Linked DNA regions of Bombyx mori. The main gene of each other region encodes a partner of the protein of the gene in region 3 in a complex. Links are inferred from orthologs where the notes say so. Each region holds a gene or a part of one and is shown on either strand. Other genes may lie near its edges.

What was found.
Region 1: Surf1 (region 3) and mitochondrial import inner membrane translocase subunit Tim21 share a complex: the UniProt entries of both Homo sapiens proteins name them as parts of the MITRAC (mitochondrial translation regulation assembly intermediate of cytochrome c oxidase complex) complex. The link is inferred for Bombyx mori from reciprocal best matches to the Homo sapiens genes SURF1 and TIMM21.
Region 2: Surf1 (region 3) and small integral membrane protein 20 share a complex: the UniProt entries of both Homo sapiens proteins name them as parts of the MITRAC (mitochondrial translation regulation assembly intermediate of cytochrome c oxidase complex) complex. The link is inferred for Bombyx mori from reciprocal best matches to the Homo sapiens genes SURF1 and SMIM20.

The regions. Positions count from the first base shown.
Region 1 is NC_085110.1:12,601,677-12,605,192, forward strand, and holds mitochondrial import inner membrane translocase subunit Tim21, read right to left. Parts: upstream 2,171-3,516; 5' UTR 1,739-2,170; coding exon 1,391-1,738; intron 1,173-1,390; coding exon 990-1,172; intron 817-989; coding exon 670-816; 3' UTR 603-669; downstream 1-602. Other genes in the region: transmembrane protein 231, read left to right, coding at 27-286. UniProt on the Homo sapiens protein: Participates in the translocation of transit peptide-containing proteins across the mitochondrial inner membrane.
Region 2 is NC_085120.1:2,850,710-2,853,638, forward strand, and holds small integral membrane protein 20, read right to left. Parts: upstream 1,661-2,929; 5' UTR 1,480-1,660; coding exon 1,365-1,479; intron 1,279-1,364; coding exon 1,222-1,278; intron 723-1,221; coding exon 670-722; 3' UTR 578-669; downstream 1-577.
Region 3 is NC_085107.1:11,546,197-11,550,339, forward strand, and holds the start of Surf1 (surfeit 1), read left to right. Parts: upstream 1-1,289; 5' UTR 1,290-1,386; coding exon 1,387-1,560; intron 1,561-2,438; coding exon 2,439-2,560; intron 2,561-2,920; coding exon 2,921-3,118; intron 3,119-3,209; coding exon 3,210-3,383; intron 3,384-4,143. UniProt on the Homo sapiens protein: Component of the MITRAC (mitochondrial translation regulation assembly intermediate of cytochrome c oxidase complex) complex, that regulates cytochrome c oxidase assembly.

The DNA.
Region 1 (3,516 bases), on a different chromosome or scaffold from region 3:
ATAACCAAAAAATAAACTATTTTCAGTTACCACAGAAGTCAGAACGATAAATTCTAGAACCTACAATGGCCAGACAGATTCTATGACTGTTCAAGTTCATCTAAGAATTCCAGAGATGCAAATAAGATACACTCCTAGTATACTAGAAGAGTTTAAGTGGGCTTGGCCTCAATATCTCTCTTTTGTAGTGATATTCCATTGGTTCTTCAATAAAGTTAAGGAATTTATATTTACCAATCGACTTCTCATGTCATGGAAAGTACAATCTTGGAAAACATTTGAATGACGAACTTATGTAAGATCTATAAAATTGTACTGCGAAATAATTGATTTGTGCCAATTTCTAGTCTTCACTGTAAAATTCACTTTAATTATTAATAAGGATAAACATGTTTTAATGTTTGCAATAAAATGATATTATAAGCATTAAGTTTCATTGGCTCAAAGAATTTAATTAATAAGATTCATATTCCAAAACTATTCTTATGGTGTCAGAAGAAGGTATAGTATTCTATATATTTAAAAGATTTCAATATGAAAGTGCTCACTATATTTATTATTTTTTAAACTAAAACTTTACATAATAATATGAAACGAAACAATTTTATTTTGCTAATCATTTATTCGATATCTACTTTACTATTTACATGTTACATAGTTAATTTTATATCACTGAGTGAGAGTTAAGGTTGGAAATGCGATATCAGGTTTGGTATTATCTAATTCAGCTCGGTTGTCCTCAATTATAAATGTTTTTCCACTGTAGTCATCAAGTTGTACCAGCAAATATCTGCACATATAGTTTCCATAATCATTCTGAAAAAACAAGTGTACTGGTGAATTGGAAAGATTTTAAATGAATTTATTAAAATAGAAAATTTTAAACAGAGATTATAAGAAATTGATGAGGTGTATACAAATTATTCAGATGTATGGTGTTATTTGAACTTTTAAGTTGTTAAACACATTTCTATTTAAACAGAACTTACTTGTTTCATATCAAGTTCAACAACACCTTTATTTCTTATCCCTTTAATATAGAATCTCATTCTCATATGTTTCACTCCATCTTTTTCATATACTGCATGACTGACATGGGTACGTCTTCTCCTAGTTGTTTCTTCTCCATAACCTTTTATTGGTGCACCAAGAGCATCTTCTACTCTAGGATCCTGCAATCGACAATAATTTAATAAATACTTGGTAAACAATACTTTAAATAGTGTTTGTTTCCCCTGTTCATTACTTACTTTAATACTGACTACTGTACTGCATTCTGCATTATGCAATGCTAATGATTAATGATATAGAAAAATTTGACCTTGTTTATTAAATAATCTGTAAATTTATCATAATGTAAACAAGATTTCTTTCACACAAGGTAATTTACCTGTTTGCACTTCTCAAGAGCTTCTGAGTAAATGCTGTTCGGACTGTTACTTGAGAACAGTTCTCGAAAAACGTAAAAGAAAATCACACCTGTGACTCCGACACCGAGAAGTATTACGCCGGTGTAAGAAACAGTTTTTGTAGTTTCTTTGATTTTTTCTCCTAAGGGTCTTACATCTGTAGATACATGGGAAGCACTTTCTTTGCTTTTGGATTTAGTCAAACCACTTTCTTTTTCAGAAGAGAAGTAACGGGTATTAGTTCTAAATTTAGTTTGTAATATGGCAGGAATCTTTTCAGTGGTGCTACCGTTCCGTAAAAGCGGTAAAAATTTAGATATTAAAGTCATCGTTCACTTTTAAGTGTGCTATTTAACAGAATGGTTAAAAAAAACTCAACCTCCTTATTGTTATTTCATCGTCAAAAATTTCCTATAAAGTTGATAAAAATAACCTTAGTTATTTACTTAATTTTGAAGTTTACGTAGCTATCATTGCTATCAATCAAACTATCTTATTTGTTAATTAGTCAGGCAAATGAAACTTAGCGAAACAGCCACTTTTATTACACGAAAAAGAAAATGTTAAAAACAATAAAAAATATAAAATATTACACTACTTAAGTAAAAATTTTAAAAGAAATGAAATAGAATTTAAAGGAGTTCAGATGAGATAAAATAAAATACTCAGTATTTTACTGAACGGTAGAAACGTCATTGGACTTTTCGGAAAAAGCTATGTTAAGCAAATCGATTTAATTTTTCTATATTTGTGCTTTTTCACCGATACTACAAAGCCTATAAGCCACTAATGTTGCTCGTTAAAATCTGAAGAAGCATCAATTTAAAAAAGTAAAACCATTCTCTATTTATAAATGGATATATCCAATAACATAGAGAAAACTCTTCGATTAGCCACTCTATATGTAGTAGGTAACTAATTTATAATATTAATAGACTTTTTGGCGGGAACGCGAAGAGTGAAGTTGTGTGATTTGTTTTATTTTGTCTATTTAGTGTTTCTTCAGGTTTCAATGTGTACTTAATAGCTGTTTAGTATCTGTGAAAGTGCATAAATGTGGGAATCTTCCAAAAAGTCCATTGAAAAAGTCACAGTAAATGACCACCATTTTACTGAGATTATATATCATCCCATATCATCTCATTTCATTTAATTTAATCCCAGTTGATTAATGTTTCAAATTAATCTTCATTTCATTTCATTTCACTCCATATTATCATTTTTCATAAAATAAGAATTTTAATAATAATAAGACATGACTTAAAGATCTTAGTTACCAGGTCCAAAAATTCCTTAAAAAAAACCGCTGTAAATGTCAAAATCTGTTTTTATTTCAATCAGAGAAGTGTATAATCTATGATTAAAATCATTTTAGATCACTGGTTTGAACTTGAACATTGCAATTAAGTTTTTTGTCTTAGTCCGTTGTAGACGTGCGCTAATCATGTTCGGAACTGGATTGAACATGACATCGTTCTTTTGAGTGTCGGAACTAGTTCCAGTAAACATGTTCGCGGAACTGTTTAGTTCCACGAACATGTTAAGTCTAGTAGCTGTTTGTAGTTTGTAGCTGTTTAGTTCCGCGGACATATTAAGTCTAGTAGCTGTTTGAAGCTGTTTAGTTCCGCGGACATGTTAAGTCTAGTAGCTGTTTGTATTGTAGCGAATCACGTATTAAGTTATTATTAATTACACAATATTTTTCAAAAAAGGTATTAAAAATACAATTTTTTAAAAGCGCTATATAAAAATAGATTGCCGATTATGGCAATTATTATTGTAATTATTATTTTGTAAGGTTTTTAGTTTTAGGTTTATTGTTACAGCTGGTTGCATAATTTATTAATGTACTGTAATTACTTTGTCATAATTTCAATTACTCTACTACTTTTATTATTTTTCAATGTATTGTACGATGCACCGGAAACTATAACCTATCAATTGTTAATTAAAATACCACGTTATTCTGATATACAACGTAAATTGAGCTCGTTGTAGCCTTACAACCTTTTTCCCATAACCGAGATACCGAATAGCGAAAGTGGTGAATGTTTTAAAATTCTCTAATTTTGAATTATGATTTTCTAAGAAATGGTCTACAAACACT
Region 2 (2,929 bases), on a different chromosome or scaffold from region 3:
AAAAGCGTTGCGTATTAAGCATTTTAATGTATTAATGTTGCTTAAATTAAATATCCTTTCACCACTCGACATGGTTTCAAAAGGTACAACTAGAATGTAAGTAACGATGCATCCATAGACCAAATTAATATGAGGCAGCTTGCTTATATTTCCACAATATTTACTTACGGCGATATTGAACTATTCGTGTACGATATTCGCTTACAGTATAGTTTATGGAAAAAATCACATGTAAATATCTCGACGGATATGACAAAATTAAATATTTTTATATAAAAGTGCTCCACTGTTTTATAAGGCTTTAAAGTATTTGAAATTCGGCGAATATATCGCGCTATTTGCAATTTCGAAATTAAATATCTATACACTGTGTTATGTTTTATTACTTTTCTAAATATACACCAAATCGGATGATTAACATCTAGATAGATTCTTCCTCAATCTAGACAGATAGATGAGATCCATTGTACAATACAATTAAGATCTATGGGATCTAGATATCATCTGCCGAAGAAGCAGAATCTACAACATACTACAAGAATCGAAAGTACAAAAATAATAATGAAAAATCTTAAAAGATATATTAACTCAATTTTATTGTTTGAAAGCTTTTTATTTACAATACTAATTAATAAAGTCAATCTGACAACTACCTAAGGTGAATTTGTATCAATCATGCTCCGGTTTCTTTCGTTCGAATGGATCGGACCATACTTTCATATCTGTAAAGACAGAGTACATTTTCAATGTTTTTCATCTTCTGTTTTCTTTTTTAGATTGGATGAGCTCACAGCCCACCTGGTGTTAATTGGTTACCGGAGCCAATAGACATCTACAACATAAACGCTGCTACCCACCTCTGTCAACCATGTCAAATATAACTAACTATACCACTAAGTTTATCATTCACAACTTTGCAGTTACTGGTTTAGTTGTTTATATATGTGATTGGAGCTCACATGCACAATATATGCTTAAAAATCACTATAAGCTTATTCTTTTTTATAAAGTTAGTTACCACTTTAATTACTATACAATTGAGATAAACAACTAAGTCCCACAGTTAATTACAACGTCCATGTGTTATCTGAGGGTTCCGGTAAGCACTCACCACCAGTTGGGTCGTGAGCTCATTCATCCATCTATACAATAAATACAAAGTTTCTAATTATATTTCAACTCTATTACTAAAGTTTCCATGGCAATAGCTTTTAAACTTACTTCCAGGTTGGATGTCTTCTTGTCGTATGTTTTTTCTAGCTTCTTTTTGAATCTGTTCTGAAATTAAATTGAACAACAGCCAAGTTAAGAAACAAAGTAGTGAAAAATGAAGAAATCGTAATACCAGTAATTTATTATCTTACTGTATTCAGAGACATCGATCATCGGACTTATTGCTATCGGATAAAGAGTTAATCCTAATAAACCAATAAAACCGCCGATAAAAGCTGTGTAACGCCAACCACGAAATATAGCCATTTCAAAATTTTATTTTCATGAAATGTGTACAGACATTCAGAATTATGAGTTTTATCGATTTTGATAATTTGTATTTCGACTATAACCATATAACAAATAATATCCTGAACTTATATTATTGATAACCAGCTGATTTTCAAATGACATTTTTTTTTTTTATTATTGTCCACTAAGAGTAGTAAAAGAAATATTTCTCATACAGCCTAAGCTAAATTTTTTGGAGTGGGAGATAAATAATGTTACCTAAACCAAAAATTATTTTATTAGAATTATGTAAAATATTACAAATTTACTGGAACTTCAATTGATTTTTCTAAAGAACTGGGAAAGTATCCGCAACAATTCCACAACTTTCGGGTGATCAGTCCGATTGCCCGTGTCATTGATATTGATATGAGTTTCTGTATCATCCTCCACGTCGCTTATTTTTTTCTTTTGCGCTCTAGTAATTACTGTTAACAATACTGAGTTAATACATTTTAATTCGTCCGAGTTTGTTGGTAACCTAGACAATGCATCCGATACGCAGTTATCTTTTCCTTTAATTTAAGTGATATTAAAATTGTATTGTTCTAATGTTAATCTATGTTTTAGCAATCTACTTGACGGATTTTTATTCCAAACAAATATATTACATAACGGTTTATGGTCAGTTATAATTGTGATTTTTTTACCAAAAAGATATGGCCTAAAGTACTTTATTCCCCACAATTGTATGCATTTCGACAAATACCAAACAACCATTAAGAAAATACTAGTTTACTGAAATAAGGTCTAAAACGCCTCGCTATTTTCCTTACAGTAGTCTAAGACATACCTAGACTTCTTTATCGTACGCATTAACTTCAATTTAGTGTAGGAAAGAGATCAAAATATATTTAGGGTGTAATAATACATATAACAAAATGTCCGCTGTGAACGTATCAAATACCACGCTACAATAACACGCTCTGATCAATAAATAGTACCTCAGGATGTCGCAAATTTACCAGAGACCAGTCCAGATACATCCTATTTCCTATGAATAGCTGTGTTTAAGAGGCTTGTATAGTCCAGTCATTAAAAGGGGTTGATCTCGGAAAATCGACCTACCCAGTATATTACCACATGAAAACCTGTATTTTGGCATCCTAAAACTATTCTACAAATTCACATATAATTGGATAGCCGCAAGTTTTAAAATCAGGGATCAAGGGTACAAAGTCGATTTTTTTCACATTTTTTGCAAATATATCGTTTTCTATGGGTTTTACGCTGTTTGTATTTATTGTTAATATTGTAGAGAATTAAATTCTCCACAACTTTTCTATTTGACATTTTTTTAAACTCTGTAATCAGAATATGAACATTAGAATTATTTTGTAATATTGTAATGGTAGCACCTAAGTTCAAAGTTGCTAATTTTAAGTTTGGCGCTTGGCAACTCTCTCTTCCGTTTCAGCCATATAGG
Region 3 (4,143 bases):
GATAGTATATTTAAATGTTATTCTGTGTTGTAGGTGTCAAACATTAACATAAATATCTGAAGAAAGGTGCTGTACCATCTATATTTTCATGGAATATGAAACCAGTTTCTGAAGAAACAAAAAGTAGAGAAGTTATGTAATTTTAGAGAAGGAATTGTCAATAAAAATAATTAAAAATATTCCTGATTTTTTATTTCGACAAGTATGTATAGTTATAATACAGATATTTCTCATACAATGCTTCTTTGAAAATATTTTCATAAAAGATATCTAATTTATTTAACATATTATTTATAAAATTATTGTCTTTTTCAACATAAATCACTTTGATGTCCTTGTAGGTGTAAATGACCAAGTTGCAGTATGTTTTGCCTGAGCAGTATAACTGTCATTGGATTTGATAATAATATGGGCAGGTTTTTTTAGTGACAATATCCCGTTACATTGTTCTAAATAAGGCACCGTTGTTATATTTATTTCATGTTTTCTGCTAGCGTATGGACATTTCACTTCAATTATAGCTTCTTCGCCCAACACACCATCAGGAGATGCAGCAAGATATGGGCGCTCTTGGCTAATGAAAATGCCTCATGGCTCCACTAGCAAATCATATATATTAGCATATTTTGCTAGAGCATTTTTTTCATTTTGTTTCAAAATTAAAATTTTGGTCATATAGCTCTAATCTGAAAAAAGTAAAATAATATATTAGTTGGTAGGTAATGTGTGTAATATGAGCAATTCTTTTTGCACATGCTACAAGGAATAAAGTTCCTAAGGTACACAATTTAATATTATTATTATAATAGCTACCGGAAACAGTTTGAGAGAAGTTTTCTAAGTTAAAATAAAACATCAACATTGTACCTTTCGACAATATCCACTTTTTTTCTTCGTAAAGATGCAACACGTTTTCTCAACTCCTCCTTTAATTCTTTAACTATCCAGTTGGAATACATGTTGTAAAATTGTTTAGCACTACTTAGAAAGTAATAAGAACCGTATCAAAGTCACAAAATGCCAAAATATCACGAACGCAAAACACACAAAATGGCGGCTCTCTGTGACAAGGGAACAAGCTACGCTGGCGACATCTGAGAAAAGCTTTAACCGGCCAACCCCATTGGCTTTTTTGCCTTGAAATATAAAATTAAATATGAAAATATTAAACTTAAGAATTGGCTGTATGGCTTAGTTCCATTGCCTTTCTCTTCGAGAAAAACCTTACTACTACTACTTTCTCTGAATACTTACCTACTTATCTATTATCCTAATCTGTGATACATATAGGTACCTACTTAAAAGTATATAATCTATGCTACCTACCTACTACCTACATAAATAAATCACTTGGTAGGTTACAAAAAAGAAGGAAGTAGATACAGAATGTTTAACAATATTTTTAAAATATCGCGAAATTTAAATATCATTTCCAATACTTTTATTAAAAAAGGATCTGTCAGTAATGTGAGATTTAATACGAATATTGCAAATATTATGCGATCACAGAAGGTCAAAAGAAAAGAAGAACCGACTGAAATATACAAATGGATCTTACTGGTAAGGTTAAAAAGATATGATTTTATTCAATTTTGAGTTCGATTTTAGGCTTTCATCTTACAAACCAGAGTAAGCAGGTCTAAGAACTGTTAAAAAATGTAAGTACATCATTTTTCTTCTCAGGAGGATCATCATTAAATTAAAATGACTAAATAATACTTAAAGGGCGTTTATAAATAAAGGAATGATGAAAAATGTCCTATAAAATCTCGTACTTACAAAAAAATTATCCTCAAAGCATGTAAAAAAAAAAAATAAGGATGATTTAAAATGAGAAATATGTGCTGTCTCATTGAGAAGAATATATTGACATTCATCAACTCACCTCAAATAAGTAAACGTAAAAACGCATGATTATATGTAAAATGAATATATATAAAAGTTGCCTAAAGATATCAACAAAATTTTATTTGATGTTGATTAATTCAAATTTGGCAAATAGCATCTTACTCGAGCATCTTTAACAACAAAGTAGTTGAAACATCAGAAGTGTATGAATGAAAATGAAAAAAGAAACATGAGATAAAATAGTAAAAAAATCTTGATGGTATATTATTTTTTTATCATGTTTAGTTCTATAGAAAATTCTGTCTATTAATTTGGCCCTGGTTGTAATGAAACATTAGAAATTGTAAAGGAAAAAATAAACATCAAATCAAACAGTAAAACAGTCTTGTAAAGTCTCTTTGGCCTTATTTTCTGTGTAATTTATGTTGAAGATAAAAAGATGACTATAACTAATGTTGATGAATCATGAACATTTGTATTAATTTTTGTAACACTTATTAAGCTATTACATATTTTCTAATCAATATAATATATGTAGATAATATATCACACATGCATATATTTATTTTTAAAATTTTCTTTCATTCCAGATGATACCAGTTACTTCCTTTACTCTTGGTTCATGGCAAGTGTACAGATGGCAATGGAAGCTGGGGCTCATTGACATGATGCAAGCTAAATCCAATGCTGTCCCAATCGACATGCCAAAAGAGTATGCTGATTTCCAATAATGAATTTAACTTTTACTTTCTGTAAAATTATGTTTGCCTTCACAGCATTTCTGATTTTTTTAAGTATTACCAGAATTCATAGACACTGCAATATGAATGCAGCGACACACCATGATATAACATCAAAATTTAAGGTGTATTGTATCTACTACTACTATGGGTACCTTTCTGCACTTGTAGTTGATACCTACTTTCATGCTAACTCACTCCCATAATATAGATTGTATGCTAAATTAGAAACATTGTGAGTTTGATTTCATTAAATTTTGAGATGCTCAAACAATTATTATATTTATCTAGAATTATATTAATATATCTAATGAAAAATTGTGTTTCTCAAGCTTTTCAGAATTAGAAAAAATGGAATATTTACCAGTGAAAGTAAAAGGAGAATTTTTGCATGAAAAAGAGATATTAATAGGTCCTAGAGCACTCATAGAAGAGAGTTCTATCACCAATAGAGTTGGTTCACTTGTATCTGACCCGAAAAAAAACCAAGGGTGGTTGGTGATCACTCCGTTTAAGTTAGCTGACACAGGGTATTACCAAAATGAATGAAATACAATAATACTATTATAAACAATATGTTAAAAATTGAATTTTTTAATTATCACATTTTGTTAATTTCAGAGAAGTCATCTTGATAAACAGAGGTTGGATTCATCAAAATTTAAGGCCTAAAGAAAAGCGAGAGCCATCTTTAATAAAGGGTCCTGTTGAGCTAACTGGTGTTGTAAGGTTAACAGAGAAAAGAGCTCCTTTCATGCCTAAAAATAATCCAGAAAAAGGCTCATGGTTTTACAGGTTGAAATTTTTTTATTCAATGGCCTAACTCATGCCTCATGACAACTCTTTGTGGAAAAGCCTTCTTTATTGCCAATAATGAACGACAAGCTTGCAGTCCATCTGATTTTAAATCTGCAGTTCATTTGTACATATTTGAAACTATGAAATTGTTTTTTTTTGAGAAGTTTAAAAAAAAAAGCAAATTGAATAAATATTTATTCAGCTTATAAAAAAAATTGAATTTTGTCTGAATAGGTTAAATTATGTGCAAGAATGTTCATAATTAATAGTTTTGGATATTTCTGCTCTGATCTACGATTACTATATTATGATAATAGTAGTCCTCTGAAGAATTGTTTTAAATGATTCAGTTCTGATTGAACATGTAACTGGCAAAGTAGTTTAGTTAACCATAAATATATGGTAACTTTGCAAGTAGAACAATTTATAGTTATTATGTGGATGAATGGCTTCACTTTATATACAGCGCATTTTCAGAGAACTATCATCCTAGTATTGGAATGTCTCATCAGCCTTAACTATACTAAGGCATGTATTTCAAAGGATGGTTGAAGAGTCCTTAGATTTAGGGAATGAGCTGTTTTGCTAAGTTTTTGTCTTTGTTGGTGTTCATGAGTGACAGTAACTAGGATCTGGTGAGCCGTAAGTTAGTCTGTCATCAAAGGCATTAATAATGTTATGAATATTTTCATCATGATCACTTGTTGAAGGCAGAGTATAATTGTGAACATTTAAAATATTTGTACTCACACGCCCA